Linked DNA regions of Rattus norvegicus. The protein of the gene in region 2 binds, or shares a complex with, the protein of the main gene of each other region. Links are inferred from orthologs where the notes say so. Each region holds a gene or a part of one and is shown on either strand. Other genes may lie near its edges.

Region 1 (5,473 bases), on a different chromosome or scaffold from region 2:
GCCATAGTTAGAAGATTGTGATTTAGTTTGGGACATGACACCATTGTCTTCTTCCTGCTGTGACGAACTGAGACTGCTCTTACAGTCCCCAGCCATTACTGCAAAGACAGAGCCAGACTAGACAATTCATTCCACAAACCGTATTATTTGAAAATGTGAAATTAATTTTCGCCAAGTATTTACTGCATTCTACTTTGAGTTCTGGATATGGTTTCCAAGTTGAAACAAAGCAAAGCAAAAAGTCCAAAGTAGGGCATTTAATCATCACACGGAATCTTTAACAATGTCTTCTTATTAATACATGACATGAAAACCACATTTATTACAAGTAATTAGCTCAGGCCAAAATGTCTGAACCAGTACAATCACCTCAAGTTTACCCGTAAAACTAGGCTGCAGGAACAAACTCCAGAGTGTTGGAAGGCAGAGGGCCAGTGATTTCACATCATTCCCATACTCCCAGAAGCCCCAGACCCGGTGCTGTTCTATCACAGACCCACAGATAACTTCATAAACCCTAGGAAGTCAAGAATCCCACTAACTGGTGAGCAAGACAAGTTACACACAACATGGATCTTGAGGCTTAAAGCACAAGTGGAAACCATCTCTGGCCAGGGATGGCACATTAACTCTCTCACAAGCCCAGGGGCTATGTGAGCAGCTCTAGCTTGTTACCTTGAGTCCTATCTACACAGCCCACCTCTCACACAAATCCCAAAGACAACAGACAACCTCACAGCTTATTAGCACCCACTTCCTGAGGGTTCCCCCCACCCCACTCTCCAAAGAGGTCTACTCACTGATCACATGGAAGGAGATGACCCTCTCTCCTCGTCCTGCTTTGTTGATGGCTTCACATTTGTATAATGCGGACACGTTGGCAGCCTGGATGACCAGAGTACTTACAGTCTGTGAACATACAAGACCAAAGTCATGAACAATACAGGCTGAACATATACACACACATACACACTGAGACAGTCTATCCATCAGCCCTCCACAGCTGCTAAGGACTGCCCTTGCCATTCATGGTACACACTGCCCACCCTCAAAGGTAAGCAGCTCTAACCAGGCAGTAATACACGGGATACAAAAGTGCCTCAGAAATCCTCAAGGATGCACTCTCATGGACATAATTCACACTTTTCATTTTTTATGTGTATAGAATCAGAATTACTTTTCAACAGGTGCTTACACTGAGTGGCATTATGTGCTTTGTTTCTCTTCCATAAACTGCTAGTAAGCTATGGGTACTACGGGTTTTTCCCTTCTCCTTTTAAATTAGTAGATATTAATTGTACAAAACAGCAAGATTTATTATGACATTTTATACATGTATATAATATACTTAGATTATATTCACTCCCAATCAGTCTGTCTTCTCTACCTTCATATCTTTTTTTATCCTGACTCATATAAAAGAAAATCATATTTGTATTTCTAAGTCTAACTTATTTCGCTTAATGTGATGATCTCAACTTTCTGCAAATGGCATAAATTTGTTGCTATTTAAGATTGAAGGAGTGTGTGTGTGTGTGTGTGTGTGTGCGTATGTGTGTAAAACTCATGCTTTCTTTATCTACCTAGGTTGACTCTATACCTAGGCTGTTATGGATGACATAATACAGACTATTTGATTATTAACCTCCAATATACCTTTGCATGTTATTGTACCACCTTCTACTCAGATTCAAGAATTAGAAAAAGAGAGATTCAAAATCAAAGTTCAAGCTCACTTTGTTTTTTCCTTCAATTAGGGCATATTGGTTTTTGGTGACTTCGATCTTATTTCCCCCCTGGAAATCCTTCACGTGTCTCCATTCTTTACAAGTATATGGGTTTGTTTGGCTGTAAGAGGGAGAAAGCACAGCATGTCATGATTTGACTTCTCTTTTGTTCAGTAGCACCAGAAAAGGTCAGCCTATGGTTATCACGTTCTTAGTGATAACTCTCAACACAGGCTAACACTTCGCAGAACTTGGCGCCAATTAAAAATAGATGCCAACAACAGTGCAAAGGTCCAAGGTAGCTGCCCGAGAATACAGAAGGGAAGCAGCTATTCTGGGAACAAGTCTCCATTCATAAATTGCATCGACAAGACAATTCAAGCTCACTTAGTTCAAAGGAAGGTAAGGAAACTTGGAAGCCATTGGGGCTTCTTAAAGTCATCTCTCTGGGAATGACTGGTGACTTTTGTTTAGGAAATGGTCAGCAGCTGAGGAAGAAACTAGGGTTTGCTATTTCAAAAACAACAACAGGAAGTGGAATGCTTGGGGTGGTAGGTTGAAGGTGGTGGCTGTTGTTTTCCCTAAGGATGTCTGCACTTGTGGTAGACCTTGATAAGCTGGGCCCGAGACTCTTGAGGCCTGGGCTACGTTTATCATTGCCTCCCATCCACCAGCACTTCCTCTGAGAGTTGAACCTTCCCAGAGATAAGGAGGAGCAGGGTGGTCCTCTCCAGTCCACAGACAGAAGAAGATCCAAAGATTGGCAACTAGCAAACGCAGCAAATGGTATCCGTTTGGAGAGGTATCCATCAGGGATAACTAAGGAGAAAGAGCTGACTCACATAGTGGGATGTGGGAGGTGAGTCTAAGTACCATTGAAAGTAACTTCCTTGGACATAGCCTTGCAGATTTAGGTGGAACCGTGGCATAGCTTGGCAGGAAGGGATGCATGATAGCAAGTGAACAGAGCACATGGTCCCACTCACCTGGGCCTGTAGGAGCATGCTTCTTCTAGCTGCCAGTACCATTGGATGTGGTGCAGGGGAGGGTTGGCATAGACTGTGCATGTCAGCGTCTGCATGGTGCCATACTGGTAGGAATCCATAGGAGAGATCAAGGCTTTCTCACCGATCTGGGGTGGAACTGGAGATAGAAAAGGCGACCTGTGAACTTCCCAATTGCTTTGAGAACAAAGAGGGGATTTCAGCAACCAGATCTGCCTTGTGTACTCATATGATTTGACCTCTGCTTGTTTTCCCAAAGGACATCTAGACTTGGAGACAGAAGACCTGAATTCTTATTCTCTCATAACACTAAAACCTGATAAGCTGAGTGACTTCAGCTATGCACTCCCATGCCACACTCTCTTACTCTTACATGAAAGATATTGTTCTCCACATCCTCTAGTCTAGCAAGAATGGGGTGAGAGGCTACAGAGAGAAAGCAGTTGGAATAACTCAGCAAAGACATTTATTGTGCACCAAGCCTTGTTGAGGTGCTTCACATTGACTTTCAGCCCTCATAATCATGGATATGGCTCTCACTTTACACATGAAAAGAAATGGGGCAAATATTAAAAAATTTGCCCAAAGGCATCAGTTAATACTGATCCTGGACCAAGGCTTTAGAATAGAAGCTCAACTTGACTTTTGTATGTATTGCGCACAGTATGTGCTAGGGTACTCTGAAGGTGGTGACCTGGAGAAGTGAGCAATGGGGTTGCTCCCTGTCTGCCTTTCTGTCTTTGCTGCCTGGTTTTTTTCTTTTCATCATACTTAATCAGCTTCTGCCTTCCTCCCCCCTCTTGAATCCCCTTTGTCCATGCAGCTTCGAAGCAACCTTCCCAGAACCTGTTATCTTTAAAAAATACTCCCTAAGGAAAAAAAGAAATGAAGCCATGCTCAGAAGACACACAGAGGATGGAGATGTGTGGGCAGCATGCTCCTGCTCTGAGACAATCTCTTGACATTTTAATGTGTGGTGCTAGTAAGAAGCACGAAGAATTACACCAGAAGCATTCCTCCGACTGTGTTTGGAGCAAAACATTAATCTATTTACTGGGAAAGGAAAAGTGCTCTAGTCAAATCATCTAGTTAAATCCTTGATACTCTTGTCACTCCTACCAGAGAAGGCAATAGTCATTATCCTATAAGGATTCTAAGGAGGTCCTATAAGAAAGACATTTTAAGTCAACCTGATACCTGCTCCACTCACCTGACCATGGCACCTTTCTATCCCAAACTCAAATACTTAGTACATTCGGTTTGGGAAGTAATTTAAATCACTCTTAAATCAAAAGCTTATGCTCTTTCCTGGACAGATTCTAAATGTGTCCTCTGACTGTAGACAGCAAGTTATCCAATGGTGCCGGCTTCCACAAATCTCCTTTGTGGAGTTCTGCCATGCATCTGCAGCAAAACAGCTAAATCTTCAGACTAAAATGTCACACAAAACACAAGGAGGGTCTCCCAAATCTTCATTCGATGTGTAGCTTTGAGGACAAAAGCAACAGGAGCTCGCAAAGCTTTGAGTGACCCCAGAGGCATTTGGCTAAGGGGTATTATTTCCTCTCACCTTGTAGGTGACCACCAACAGAACCTTCACACGAGTAATCAAAGAAGCAGCACATCCAGAGGATGCCAGACCACATCTTATTTCAAATCCACCTCCCTGGGTCATCTCTCTCCCTCCCTCCCTCCCTCTCTCCTTCCTTCCCTCCCTCCCTCCCTCTCTCCATCTCTTCTCTCTCTCTCCCTCCCTTCCTTCCCTCCTTCCCTCCCTTCTCCCTCTCTCCATCTCTTCTCTCTCTTTCTCTCTCTCTCTCTCTCTCTCTCTCTCTCTCTCTCTCTCTCTCTCTCTCTCTCATGCATTGGCCCAGTTAATGATGCAGATGGTATAACAGAAGACAACAAAATGATGGGAGATATGTGAAGATGCACTATCTCTCTCTCTTCCCTAGTAAACTTTGGGCAGAAGAGACAGCGAATGGACTCACCATTCACAACCAGAGAGACCATGTGGCTCTGTTTCTCCATTGAAATGGGATTGGTGAGGATGACCGTGTAGTTTCCCGCATCTCTTTCACTCACTTCCATGATGGTGAGTTCATCACCAACGATCATTGTGTAATTGGACTCAATGGGTCGTCCATTTCTGTACCTAAGGGAGACAATCCCGGGAGGTAGTGCGATAGAAGGATTTTATCTCATGCAAATCAATGCTTTGCTTTTATTTCCAGTAGTTACCATTTGATATCAGGAGCTGGGTAACTGAGATACTTCACAGGGATTCGGACTTGGCTGCCCACAGTGGCTTCCACCAAAGATTTCATCCCGCTACCAAAAGCAATAAAAGGTTTTGCTAGAAGAAAACGAAAGCAATGGTTCTCATAAATGCCAAGTTACAGTAAATGACTTTTTGGTTTGGACTTTTAATCAAGTGAAAAGGTAGAGTTTGGGATACATGTATGTACCGCTGTTCTGAGAATCCCCATGCCATCTATAGCAGCCAAATTCCAGCTCACTTCTAGCTGTTGTCAGCATTGTCTCCTCACTAGAGCTCTCTCATGAGTCTTGAGCATTCTATCTTCCACACAGCCTTCTCTACCATGCCCAGGGACCAGAAGCTATACCTTATTCTCTGCTCCTGTGACATGCTCTACCCAACTCTGTGTATTGATTGCCCTGACACTCACTCCCTCCAAATCTCCTCTTCCATCTAGTCTCATATCTAAAGCATCAGTTCTG
Region 2 (5,932 bases):
GTAGCTTTCCTTTCCAGTGCCTCTTAGCTGCATAGATTATAGATCAGGTGAGGAAACCCATGGGAGGGCTCTGGGCCCGTAAGCATTTACTAACTACTCTCCCTGCTAAAAGAGAGCCATCCGGGAGGTGACTCAGGGCAGCTATGATAGGCCAGATGGGATGGGGTGGCTTTTTTCCTCATAAGATCCTCATAACATTGCTCCATTGAAATTGGGGTTCCCAACAGGTACCAGCATCCCACGGAGCCTCAGTACTGTGTGCAGAGGGATGGAGATGGTGGAGTAACCTTTTCGGGGGACCAGTAGGAAGACTGTTGGCTCCCTTTCTCAGAAGCTCAGCAGACCTGGGTGAGGGCTGGGACTGGTTGGTCCCTCTCTTCCCACAGGTATCAGAGCCCCCTCTTGTTCCCAGGGGAGCCTAGGAGCAGCTGGGCCAAAGCCCAACCAGGAATTTTTCCAGGCTGGTTCCTATATCCAAGGGTGGGCTGGAGGTGGGGGCTTTGGGGAGCTCTTAAGGAAGACACGAGGAGGTGAAGGGGACTTTGTGGAAAGGGAGGGGACAGAGCCACACAGGCTAAGTGTACAAGCATAGAGAAATGGCCAAGGGTCCTAGGTAGAATGGGAGGGGGCAGAGTACAACCCTGAACTCTGTTTAGAAGATGAACTGTGAGCCTAGGCTAGAACTGAGGGAGCCTTACCTCTACTCCCATCCTACCCGGAGTTGGTGGCAGCGCTGGGCAGCTGGCCTAACTACGTTTCTGAATGCTAGGGTAGGTTTGAATCACCACGCAGGCCTGGCCTGCTTCTGCCCCCATTGGCACACTGGCCTTAGTTCCCTGGCAACATCTGGGTGTTTGTGTGTGGGGGGTGTGATCAGGAGGAACAAGGGCTTCTGTCTGCCCAGCTGTCTCTCCCTCAGGGCTCTGCCAGACTCCACAGTGCATACGTGGGCTTCCACAGGTCGTCTCCCTCCGGGCCACTGACTAACTGCTCGGCTTCCCGTTCTCAGTGTCACACATTTGATGCCATATCCTCTCCAGAGAAGCCTCTCTGGAAACTTCCCAGGGAATCCCATTCACCCCAGGGCCCTAGTTCCTTATGTATGAAGATCAGACAAGAGCTCAGATAAGCATACTTGCCTTCCACGTAGCCCCCCGCCCCATATATAATCCTAGAGTTTCTGTTTCCGAGGTCAAACAAGCAACTGTTGGGGGGTGGGTGTTAGAAACACGCAACTATTTGGGAAGTCAAAGCCTGCGGTGCTCAACAGTCAACTCTCACCCCCTGTCCAAGACCCGTGCCATTTGAGCCAGAGTTGGGGTGTGCATAATGTAGTCACTAGGGGGCGCTCGGCCATCACGGGGAGATCGTGAACTTGGGCGAGCCGAGTCTGCGTGAGGAAGGACGCGTGTGTCAATGTGAGTGCGTGCGTGCATGTGCGTGTGTGTCTGGGTATAGTGTGTTTGTGAGGTAGGGGAGAAGACCAGGGGTCACTCCGGGTGTCCGTCTCCCCATACGTCCTTGCCAGCTCTCCGCCTCCCCCCCCCCCCACTTTCTCCTACATTCCTGGGAAAGGAAATTGCCCTCACTCTCCTGTCTCCCCTGATTCCCAACACCCTGGGATTCCCAGTGTGTCCCCGAGCCAAGTTTGAAGGGGTGGACAGATAATTCTCAGGCTATGGACCCTGGTAAGGGGTTTAGATTTCTATTTCGCAGTAGTGGCCTAGGGGCTTCTGAAAGGCGGTGCCTGGTTCGGCCTGGCCTCGCCCCCGGGGCGGGCCTGGGGCGGGGCCTTTGGGGGCGGGGCCAGATTTCCTTTTTTTTCCACCGCTGTTACCGGTGAGAAGCGCAGAGGCTTGGGGCAGCCGAGCTGCAGCGAGGCCGCGGCGCTGGGGGCGAGCTGAGCGGCGGCAGCGGAGCTCTGTCGCGAGACGCAGCGACAAGGCAGACTATTCAACGGACTCATCAGCCAGGGAGTCTGTGCTCTGGGATTTGATATTCAAACCTCTTTTTTTTTTCTTAAACTGTATTGTTTTACGCTTTAATTTATTTTTGCTTCCTATTCCCCTCTTAAATCGTGCCAACGGTTTGGAGAGGTTGCTCCTTCACTCCCTCAAATTACTTCGGATTTTGGAAATCAGCAGAGGAAAGAGGTAGCAGGAGCTCCAGAGAGAAGTCAAGGAAGAGAGAGAGAGAGAGAGACCGGTCAGAGAGCGCGCTGGCGAGCGAACAGAGAGAGGGACAGGGGCAAAGTGACTGACCTGCTTTTGGGGGTGACCGCCAGAGCGCGGCGTGAGCCCTCCCCCTTGGGATCTTTCATCGGACCAGTCGCGCTGACGGACAGACAGACAGACACCGCCCCCAGCCCCAGCGCCCACCTCCTCGCCGGCGGGCAGCCGACGGTGGACGCGGCGGCGAGCCGCGAGCAGGAGCCGAAGCCCGCGCCCGGAGGCGGGGTGGAGGGGGTCGGGGCTCGCGGGATTGCACGGAAACTTTTCGTCCAACTTCTGGGCTCTTCTCTCTCCGGAGTAGCCGTGGTCTGCGCCGCAGGAGGCAAACCGATCGGAGCTGGGAGAAGTGCTAGCTCGGGCCTGGAGAAGCCGGGGCCCGAGAAGAGAGGGGAGAAAGAGAAGGAAGAGGAGAGGGGGCCGCAGTGGGCGCTCGGCTCTCGGGAGCCGGGCTCATGGACGGGTGAGGCGGCGGTGTGCGCAGACAGTGCTCCAGCCGCGCGCGCGCCCCAGGCCCCGGCCCGGGCCTCGGTTCCAGAAGGGAGAGGAGCCCGCCAAGGCGCGCAAGAGAGCGGGCTGCCTCGCAGTCCGAGCCGGAGAGGGAGCGCGAGCCGCGCCGGCCCCGGACGGGCCTCTGAAACCATGAACTTTCTGCTCTCTTGGGTGCACTGGACCCTGGCTTTACTGCTGTACCTCCACCATGCCAAGGTAAGCGGTCGTGCCCGCCTGGTGTCGCCGGGCCATGGCGAGCGCCTCTCCCGCTTGGGGACGTGCGTGCGTGCGAGCGCGCGCGTGGGGGGCTTCGTGCCCCACGCGGGTCCTTGGGCACCGGGCGCGAGGCGTCCCCCTCTGTCGTCGTACGTGGAGGGGGAGGGGGTGCGCGCTAGGTGGGAGGGCGCCAGGATAGTCTCGCCGCCCACGCGGGCCCTGCCCACCCACCAGAGTCACCGCACGTACGATCTGGGCCGAGCAGCGGAGGGCGGGAGCCAGAGGAGGAGGCTGAGGGGGCTGGGCTTGCGCCCGAGCTGGCGGCAGAAGTTTGCTCTGGGTCGCGGGTCCCGGGAGAACTGGAAGTCCGGGCAGAGGGGGCGGGAGTCCGGAGCCCAGCGGGCATGCCTGGGGGTGCTCGGACCTTGGACCGGGGGAGGGCAGAGATCGTGGAGGGGGCAGGGCGCCGGCGACCGAGGGGGCTTTGCTGTCACTGCCATTCGGTCTCTTCGGCCTTTGCAGTGAGTTTGGGGAAAGTTTTAGGATGGATTACTGCGGGGACCCTCTCCCACCCCTCTAGCTTGTTGGGCCACCTGCGCCGCGCCACCCCCTCCCGTCCCCGCTCGCGTCCCGCGCGGTGCCCGCCCTCCCCCGCCTGGCCGGGCGCGCGCGGCGCAGAGCCGATTACATCAGCCCGGGCCTGGCCGGCCTCGTGTTCCCGGAGCCGCGGCTGCTGGAGCCCGGAGACCCGGGCGACAAGCGGCGCCCCTCCCCCACCGGCCCTCCGCGAGGAAGGTGACCTCTGGAGGTATCCCCAGCTCCGGGACCGGGAGAAACTCCCATACCCCTTTCCTCCGTTCCCAACTTCTACCCGTGCCTTGCTCTAGGCAGAATTACCCGACGCCCCTTCCCCCTTTCCCCCATTTCCTGCCTGGTGTGCAGAAAAGCCCTTCCCACCCTTTTATATTTTCCTTTTCCTTGCGAAGACTCATCGGACCCTTCCTGGCCCCAGGGCCCAGGAAAAGGACGGTGACTGTCAGACGTGGGGGTGTTGGGGCCCACCCTCGGGTTCTTTGTGGAAACGCTGACCTAAGTTTTGAGTTGGTGAAGGTGTGCTTCCCTCTCCTCCTAGCAGCTCCAGTTAGCTGTGTTTCACCTTTTTTTTGGGGGGGGGGCGGTCAACGAAGGGTGGACTGACATCACCCTATTTCCCCCGTTTTGGAAACATGACTTGATATTTGCTAAGACAGGGGCAGCCTGGAACCAGCCCTTTCCTACTCCTTTGACAGGATCCCTTGTCAGTATCTCACACACACTTTGTCCTGGCAAAGCCTGATGCCCAGAGAGCAGGTGGTTTAACTCTGAACTTACCCACCCAATTTGCCTACTAAAGGGTCCTTTGATGCTCGTTTCCTCTAATTCTCAGCTATAGAGCCTTCTTGGAAAGGAGGCAGAAGGAAGGAGAAGGGCAGGTGTCCCTGCCACCATCCAGAGGTCCCCAGACCCTGGCACAAAGGCCTTGGTTCTGGGCCTTCATGTGGGGAGGAGGGCAGGAGTGCTTGGCCACAGTGTGACCTTCAGAGGCCCCCAGAGAAGGACACCTGGCCAGTCCCTGCCTAGAACCTCCCCATCTGGGAAGGGGTTCAAAGTTTCTGTTTCCTTTCTCCACTGGGGTCTAGACAGAGGAGGAAGGAGAATGTCATGAGGCTATTGAGGGGGTATTTGAGGGCCTGATGAAGTGCAGAATCCAGGACCAACCTGGGGCAGCTGCAGTGGGAGGCTATGTCTTGAGAAGGGCCACCTCTGACCTTGGCCCTGGTGGCAAGGCTGAGGGCCCTGGATGGATTGCTCTTAGGAAAAAGAGACAGAGACAGACCAAGGGTGGGAGTCTGTCCCTCTGGGGCAGTTGGAGGTCCAGGTTGGTGTGAAGCAGGTGGATGGGGAGTTGTAGCAACAGGAGACCCTCAGGAAGGCCAGGAGCCTTGGCTTGCTTGCCACGTCAGGGCCACAGGGCCTTCTTGGTGACCTTCAGAGGTTCTGGGGAGGGGAGAGAGGAACTGGTGGGGATGAGGAAGGTTGGAGGGCTCAGGGTGGGGCAAAGGACCCCCTGGCAGAACTGAGGAGAAAGCTTCCCTGGGTACATTTAAGCAAAGTGCCCTGCCCAGGTGAGAGGCTCCGGGATGTGGGAGTGGGAGGCTAGCCAGGCTTTGGAAGCTGCAATCGGGACCTGGGCAGACCTGGGACCTGGGGTGGGAGGAGAATGGGACTCTCCCTTCCTTAGGAGCTTCCTCCCAGCTTTTCACCCCTTGAGCAACCTGTGGGTATGCTGACTATTCCCCAGGCCTGGGAAGAGTTCAGATGGGGGAGGGTAGTTGGTGCCCTTCTGTCCTCTGCATCTCTCTTCGACTCGAGCTAACCCTGGTATTTGTCATGTCAGCAGGAGAAGGTCACCACGTTGTTTTTCTCGCCCCCAGTCTTTCCTTCCTGCCCCAGTCCAAATTTGTCCTATTTGACCTTAATGCTTACCCATGGCTTGGGACCAGGGAATCGAGGGCAATGGGAAAAGGGACAGGACAAGAACAGGACGGGGCTGGGGGCCTGGGTCAAGCAGGATTCTGGTATTTTCCTCCTACATTGTGAGCTCCCTCACACCTGGTTAGTCTTTAACTTTCACGGGCTCAGAATTGAAGCCATCCGGAGTAGTGGGTATGCTCTGGGCCCACAGGACCCCTACTGTTCCCCGTGTGACTCAGAAGACTTGGGGAGGGTGGGAGCTGGGGGTTGGGAGAGGAGGCAAAAAGAAATCTAGGGATTCAGTGGTGTCAGGCCTGGGACTCCTGTGGCTGGCCCTGTCCCTGACAACGCTCTTTACTCTTTGTTTTGTCCTCAGTGGTCCCAGGCTGCACCCACGACAGAAGGGGAGCAGAAAGCCCATGAAGGTGAGTCCTCATGCTTGTAATGGGTCCCTGTTGTCCCATTCCTCTTTCTCAGATGGG
Region 3 (5,473 bases), about 49 Mb from region 2:
TCAGTTTCCCAGCCTGTGAAAGGGCAGTAGGCTTAGTTCTGGTTTGTTTTTGAACCATGTATCGTGCTCATCAGTAGACTACAGAATTGATTTAATGGGTTATGATAGCTTTTTAGATGTCTGAGCTGAGATGCACACAGGTTGAGCACTGCTTGGGGATCCCCTCTTTGTTACATTTGCCTGTAACATGCCTGCCAGTGTTGGGTAGCAACCAAAATACTGCCCACTGTTACTCCATGCCATCTCCTAACAGCTGCAGGGCTCTGTGACAGACTGATGCCACCCCTACTTCCCAGGTAAAAGATGAAGTCATTGGTCCTAGGCTCTACTCCTAGTGATGGCCAGGGAAGGACTTGAATTTAGTCATCATTCTGGAATTCAAGAACGTCCCCATATGTTCACATGTGTGTGCTTGCTTGTCAATGAAAGGGGCTGCAATGGAGATTTGGTTTAACTTGAGACACGTGATCAAATGTAGCATCCACTAGCCTAGCCTAGGAGTTTCTGGATTCTCTATAGTTCTAAGCCTAAGGGGGTAAATGAAACTAGTTCATGTCTGAGGTGGGTTTTTAGTACTGGTGAGGCACAATCGACATACATTCAGGCATTGGGGGACTCAGCTTTAGTCCTACAAGTGTGTGGTGTGTGTGTGTGTGTGAGAGAGAGAGAGAGGGAGGGGGAGAGAGAGAGAGAGAGAGAGAGAGAGAGAGAGAGAGAGAGAGAGAGAGAGAGTCTCCCAACTAGTATAGATTCCATGATAGTGTCTTCACTTCCAAGCCTAGAAGTGAACTTGGGCCCCATTCCTGGCCAGCACGTCTGCCCAGGATTCCTCTGTGCACTTGTAGCCCCCACACAGGCAACACTTTTCTCCCTGGGAGCCCAGAGCACTTCTCTGACATGCCCTTATTAATCCTTCATGCCATCCTGCCAGTGACAGATACAGCAGACAGGAAAATGGGATTACCTGGGGCCCTGGTGGGGAGGGGCAGGAGAGCACAGCCTACTGGCGGCTCCTGCTGGCACTGGGTGGGGCTCTGAGCTCCAGGTGACTCCCAAAGCTCATTTTGACAGTCTGTGCCAGCTCTGAGGAAGAAGTAGAGCCAGTGGCCAGAGGCTAGGTTGAGTCTGATTCAGAGGGATCTGGCTTTCTCAGGAGTGAGCTCTGGGCCTCACCCTCACAGGGAGAATTCCCAGAGGCCCTTGCCCCAGGGCTGTGCTTCTTAGAAGGTCCGGAAGGAGCAGGAGGACAGCTGTAGCCTGGGAAGATGCACCCTTGCACCATGCTGTCCCTTCTGAGCAAATAGATGCCTTTTACAGCTGTGGCTTTGAAAGGAAAATGCTGTCTCTGAGCTTCTGACATCTGGAGGCCAGATTCAGACATAAACGGATTACTTTATTATCATGAGAGGGTTTTTCTTTCCTAAATCAACAGCCACAGCCCCCTGGCCTGAAGAGCTGGGGTCTAATTGAATTTGGGTGGGTGGTGGGTGGTTATGATTTGTTTTTGAGAGACTCCCGTTGAAGAACTGAAGTGATCCCTGACCAAGGACAAACTGCTTCCCTCGAGAAATTTCTCCAAGTTCAGAGGTGGTCCCAAAAATATAGCAGGTACACAGTGATGTCTGCTTCCCGAAGGCTGACTGCCTCTCTCCCCCTCCCAGGATACCAAGATCAAATGAGAAAGACATGGAGAGCAAATCCTCCTTACCTGTCCAGTCACAGCCCAGGACCTCCAGCCTCATCCCGATGCCCGCTGGTGACCACCTCTCTGGGTATACCCGCACGTACTGTGCTGGAACTGGCTCGAACCTTCGGATGTCGGGGGTGTCATAGTGCATGTTCCCTTCAAACAGCTGTAGGGAGACAGGTTGTTCAGCCCCCATGTGGGGCTCCTCCCCGAGTACCTCTCCCAACCACACCTAACCCAGAAGTCAGCTTCATGGTTGATTCATGGGGGCACTATCCTCTACAAGCTTTATTTCAAACCAAGGTCTTTGTTCATTTGGAAAGTCCACGAGGGACCTTGGGATATGGAAATCAGGTATCATTAGAATGGCCATTGTCAGGGGAAGTCTGAGCTGCAAATGAGATTTAAGCTGACCTTGTCCAGAAAGGAAAAAAAAAAAAGGAAAATTAAAACCATAATCGGAGATCCAGTAATCTTTTTGAGGTTGATGCACCATCTTTTAAAAGACTCCTATCTTTAAAATAAAAACTAGTAGGCGAGCAAACATCCCAGATTCCTTGTCTTATTTTTTTAGTTTTTAGAAAAGTGTTTTCCTGATGCCTGGAAGTCTGGGTACCTGGATGGGATGGGGTAGAGTTGGCGGGATGCTTGCCCGCACGGATGAATAACTTTCAGGTTATTCAATGCCAAGAAGCATGGGGCCAACAATTCCAAGTATACTGACAGTCAGAAAGAAAAATGGCTGCTCCTTCTTTAGGATAGTAAGGGCGTCCTCTTGGTTACAAACTGATGGCCTGAGATAGTCTTCCAGAGCTTTGTCTATCAGCAGCAATTCCACCTAAAGAAACCTCCCTTGGATTGCCAATGTGTAAAAAGCTGTGTAGGGATCCTATCCAGAGCCACCGTGGGGTCCCTCACACAGGGAGAGGACAGCTGTGATGTTCAGGGATGTCTGAGTGTCAGCCAACTGTAGGTGCTCAGGATAGCTTTCAAAGTAAGGGTGCTGCCTTGGGCAGGGCCAAGATCATTTCTTTCACTAAGAGTCATGGTTAGCTGTCGCTGGGGAAATTTCCAGTTCCTGGGCTTCTCAATGAAGGTTCTGGTTCCCAGACCCTGGGTCTTTTCAAGGCCCTGGGATTGTGATCTGGAAGTTCATATTACTGTAACCAACTTAGCCCTTGCTTATGCATTCAGAAAGCAAAACCTTGGTTATCACAGGGAGGAGTCCTTTCTTGTTGAGAACCCTGCTTGTCTGCAGTTGAAAGTAACGTAGAAATGAGGACCAGCTAGCCTGGCCTACCAGGAGATGAATCTGGAGAGGGAAGAGGCATGGGGTCCTTTTCTAGCCGAGCCTCCTTGCATGCTAGGGTGAAGGTCAGCCTTCCTTTCTCCCATGGCTGGGATGGGCTGCTCTGGCCTGAACTTCTGGCCCAGCATAAGATTCTCTTTCTTCTTTCAAACTCAGTGTAAGAGGCAGGCGGGAAAAGATCTGAGCATTCAAGACTAAGAAAATACAACGGAGCGTAATGTTCAGAAAAACAGTTATTCTTGGAAGTAACTCCCAGTGTCTATAGCTTGGCCTCCAACAACCACATCCCCTTGGGATGTCTGGCCCGTTTCAAGGAAACGTTATCCAGAAGGGACTGTGAAGGCTACCAAACTTCATAAGCACTGCATAGGTATCTGGGCTTTGGAATCTGACTTTTGGTTTCTGAATCATGGCTTAAGCACCGATATACAGTGTGACTCTGGAATAACCTAAGCCTCAGTTTTGTCATCTCTGAAATGTGAGTGATCAAAGAGTAGACTTCATAGAGGGTTATGATGAATGAATCTAACTAAATTAGGCAACCAGGCCCTGGGCAACATTGTGTCTTGGTTGGTATGTGTTTTGTTGTGCTGATGGAGTTTGATGGATATCTACTAGATGGGACATCAGTACCCCAGCTCCCTGTACCCCATTGAACCTCTCTGTTTAGAATGGCAGCAGAGTTTTCTGTGAATGGCCTACCTTTGGCTGCTGAGTCCTGGGGTCCTGGATATATTCCCAGTCCTTGCCATTTAGGCTGTAGGAGACTTTGAACTTGCGTACAAATGCCCTGGCTTCCATGGCAGTGATACTGTCTCCTCCTCGGGCCCCCTGGATGATGACGCCTTTCACCGTCTTGGGTGTCCCAAGATCCACCTGAAGCCATTCTTCACCTGGCTGGGCTTGAGGGTTCCGAGGGAACCAGCCAGAGCGGCTGCTAACCAGGCGGGCAGCACTGGGGCTCCAGAGGTACTCTCGGGTGGAGGAGGCAGAGATCTGGGTATCAGCAATGAGGCCCGAGAGCATTCCCAGCATGTTGGAGCAGGGTGCATCTAGGAGAGACAAGGAGAATACTAGAAGTCGTGGCTGAGACCCACTAATTGAAGCCCACCCCCTAGCAGCTATCAGGCCATCAGGTCACGTGCTTATTTATTTTATTTTGTATTTTGAGGCTGTAGAGCGCTGTGATTCAGAGCCTGAACTTGGACTCAGAATGCCTGGTTATATGTTCACCCTCCTGCTTACTTAGCTGTACAGTTTTGGTCAAGTGATTTAATTGTTCCATGCATCGAGCCCCCCAAGTCTAAAGGAGTACTCTTGAGCAGTGCCTACCTGTTGTGAGGACTCACCTCAGCGAAGGCCTTAGAACAGTGCCTGGTACACCTAAGTACACAGTGGCTGTATTTATGGCTCTGATCAGGGCTTCTGAGAATGTGTGTTGGCACATCTATCCACAACACCTGATCCCCACTGACTCTCTCAAGGACAGTGAGCACAGTGGAAGACCATTTTGCCTACAAGATGGGCTTATAGTTTCCTAGGTGCAGGTCCTGGTTCCATCACCTTCTGGATGGATGGTGACCAGGGTTAAGTTATTGCCTATCAGAATCTAATAACTTCACCAGCGTCATCTTTGGTGTAATAAACAGGCAGCATAATGTACAGGAGAGAGTCATGAACGATGCAGAGAAGGCGCAGATGCAGGGTGCTCGAACAAGAAGCCATAAGCAGGGTCATTCCACGGTGTGCTCTTAGACAGAGATGGAGTGAGGCGAGGTAGGCAAGAGGGTGGATGGACATTGAGGACCCTTCCATGTCAGAGAATCAGCTTGCCTTTCTAGGTGGAGTTCAGAGTGGAAGTGACTGACCTGTAAATGTTCACCTATTGCTGGTCTAATCGCCATGGTCTCACAACTATACCATTGTACCGGTCTACCAAAGGCCTCTGATCCTACTCTGATGCTCTCTCCTGTGCAGCCCATGAGTCTTAGCCCATGCGAGTGCCATTGTTCCTTCAGATGCAGTCCTCACACACTGTCTCTCCACTCCTTTGCTACAGTGCCAACAAGCAAGCAGCGATCACCACTGAGTATCTGTTTTCTAATCACTCTTCGGCAGGTACTGTCTGGTTTGTCTGCCCTCTGACCTCGGTAACTCATTGTCACCGAAGAATTTCTTGACCTGCCAGGCTATGTCAAGTCTTCTGTAGAACACTTCAGGGGTCATGAGGCCCATCCTGTTTCCAGATATTCTTCATAGTTTTCTGATTTTCATTTATTTACCATCTTGTTTCCTATTAACTCGTCCATCTAACTCGTCCATACGCCCACACTGGCCTGGGTCTGGCATGTTCCCGTTGTGTCTATAGTGACGTGTCTAGATCTTGGTTTGTACATGAGGTAGCAGAGAGCATTATTTGAAACTCAAGTTACCTAGGTTACCATGGTACCATCACTTACTGGGGACTAAGTTCTTTA

The links.
Region 1: the proteins of Vegfa (region 2) and Kdr are in contact, whole or in part, in a crystal structure (PDB 3V2A), measured with the Homo sapiens proteins. The link is inferred for Rattus norvegicus from reciprocal best matches to the Homo sapiens genes VEGFA and KDR. Residues at the interface, in NP_003367.4 of Homo sapiens: Pro246, Asp247, Ile249, Glu250, Ile252, Lys254, Met287, Ile289, Pro291, His292, Gln295, Ile297; in NP_002244.1 of Homo sapiens: His133, Val135, Tyr137, Ile215, Val216, Val217, Val218, Val219, Gly220, Tyr221, Asn253, Gly255, Ile256, Asp257, Phe258, Val273, Asn274, Arg275, Asp276, Phe288, Ser311, Gly312, Leu313.
Region 3: the proteins of Vegfa (region 2) and Nrp2 are in contact, whole or in part, in a crystal structure (PDB 5DN2), measured with the Homo sapiens proteins. The link is inferred for Rattus norvegicus from reciprocal best matches to the Homo sapiens genes VEGFA and NRP2. Residues at the interface, in NP_003367.4 of Homo sapiens: Lys392, Pro393, Arg394, Arg395; in NP_957718.1 of Homo sapiens: Tyr299, Ser300, Asp301, Trp304, Thr319, Asp323, Ser349, Glu351, Thr352, Asn354, Tyr356, Gly417, Ile418.

The regions. Positions count from the first base shown.
Region 1 is NC_086032.1:32,584,547-32,590,019, reverse strand, and holds part of Kdr (vascular endothelial growth factor receptor 2 precursor), read right to left. Parts: intron 5,088-5,473; coding exon 4,973-5,087; intron 4,887-4,972; coding exon 4,723-4,886; intron 2,871-4,722; coding exon 2,714-2,870; intron 1,849-2,713; coding exon 1,737-1,848; intron 910-1,736; coding exon 801-909; intron 1-800. UniProt on the Homo sapiens protein: Tyrosine-protein kinase that acts as a cell-surface receptor for VEGFA, VEGFC and VEGFD. Plays an essential role in the regulation of angiogenesis, vascular development, vascular permeability, and embryonic hematopoiesis.
Region 2 is NC_086027.1:22,450,998-22,456,929, forward strand, and holds the start of Vegfa (vascular endothelial growth factor A), read left to right. Parts: upstream 1-1,856; 5' UTR 1,857-2,333; coding exon 2,334-2,936; intron 2,937-5,826; coding exon 5,827-5,875; intron 5,876-5,932.
Region 3 is NC_086027.1:71,675,238-71,680,710, reverse strand, and holds part of Nrp2 (neuropilin-2 precursor), read right to left. Parts: intron 4,049-5,473; coding exon 3,699-4,048; intron 1,854-3,698; coding exon 1,709-1,853; intron 1-1,708.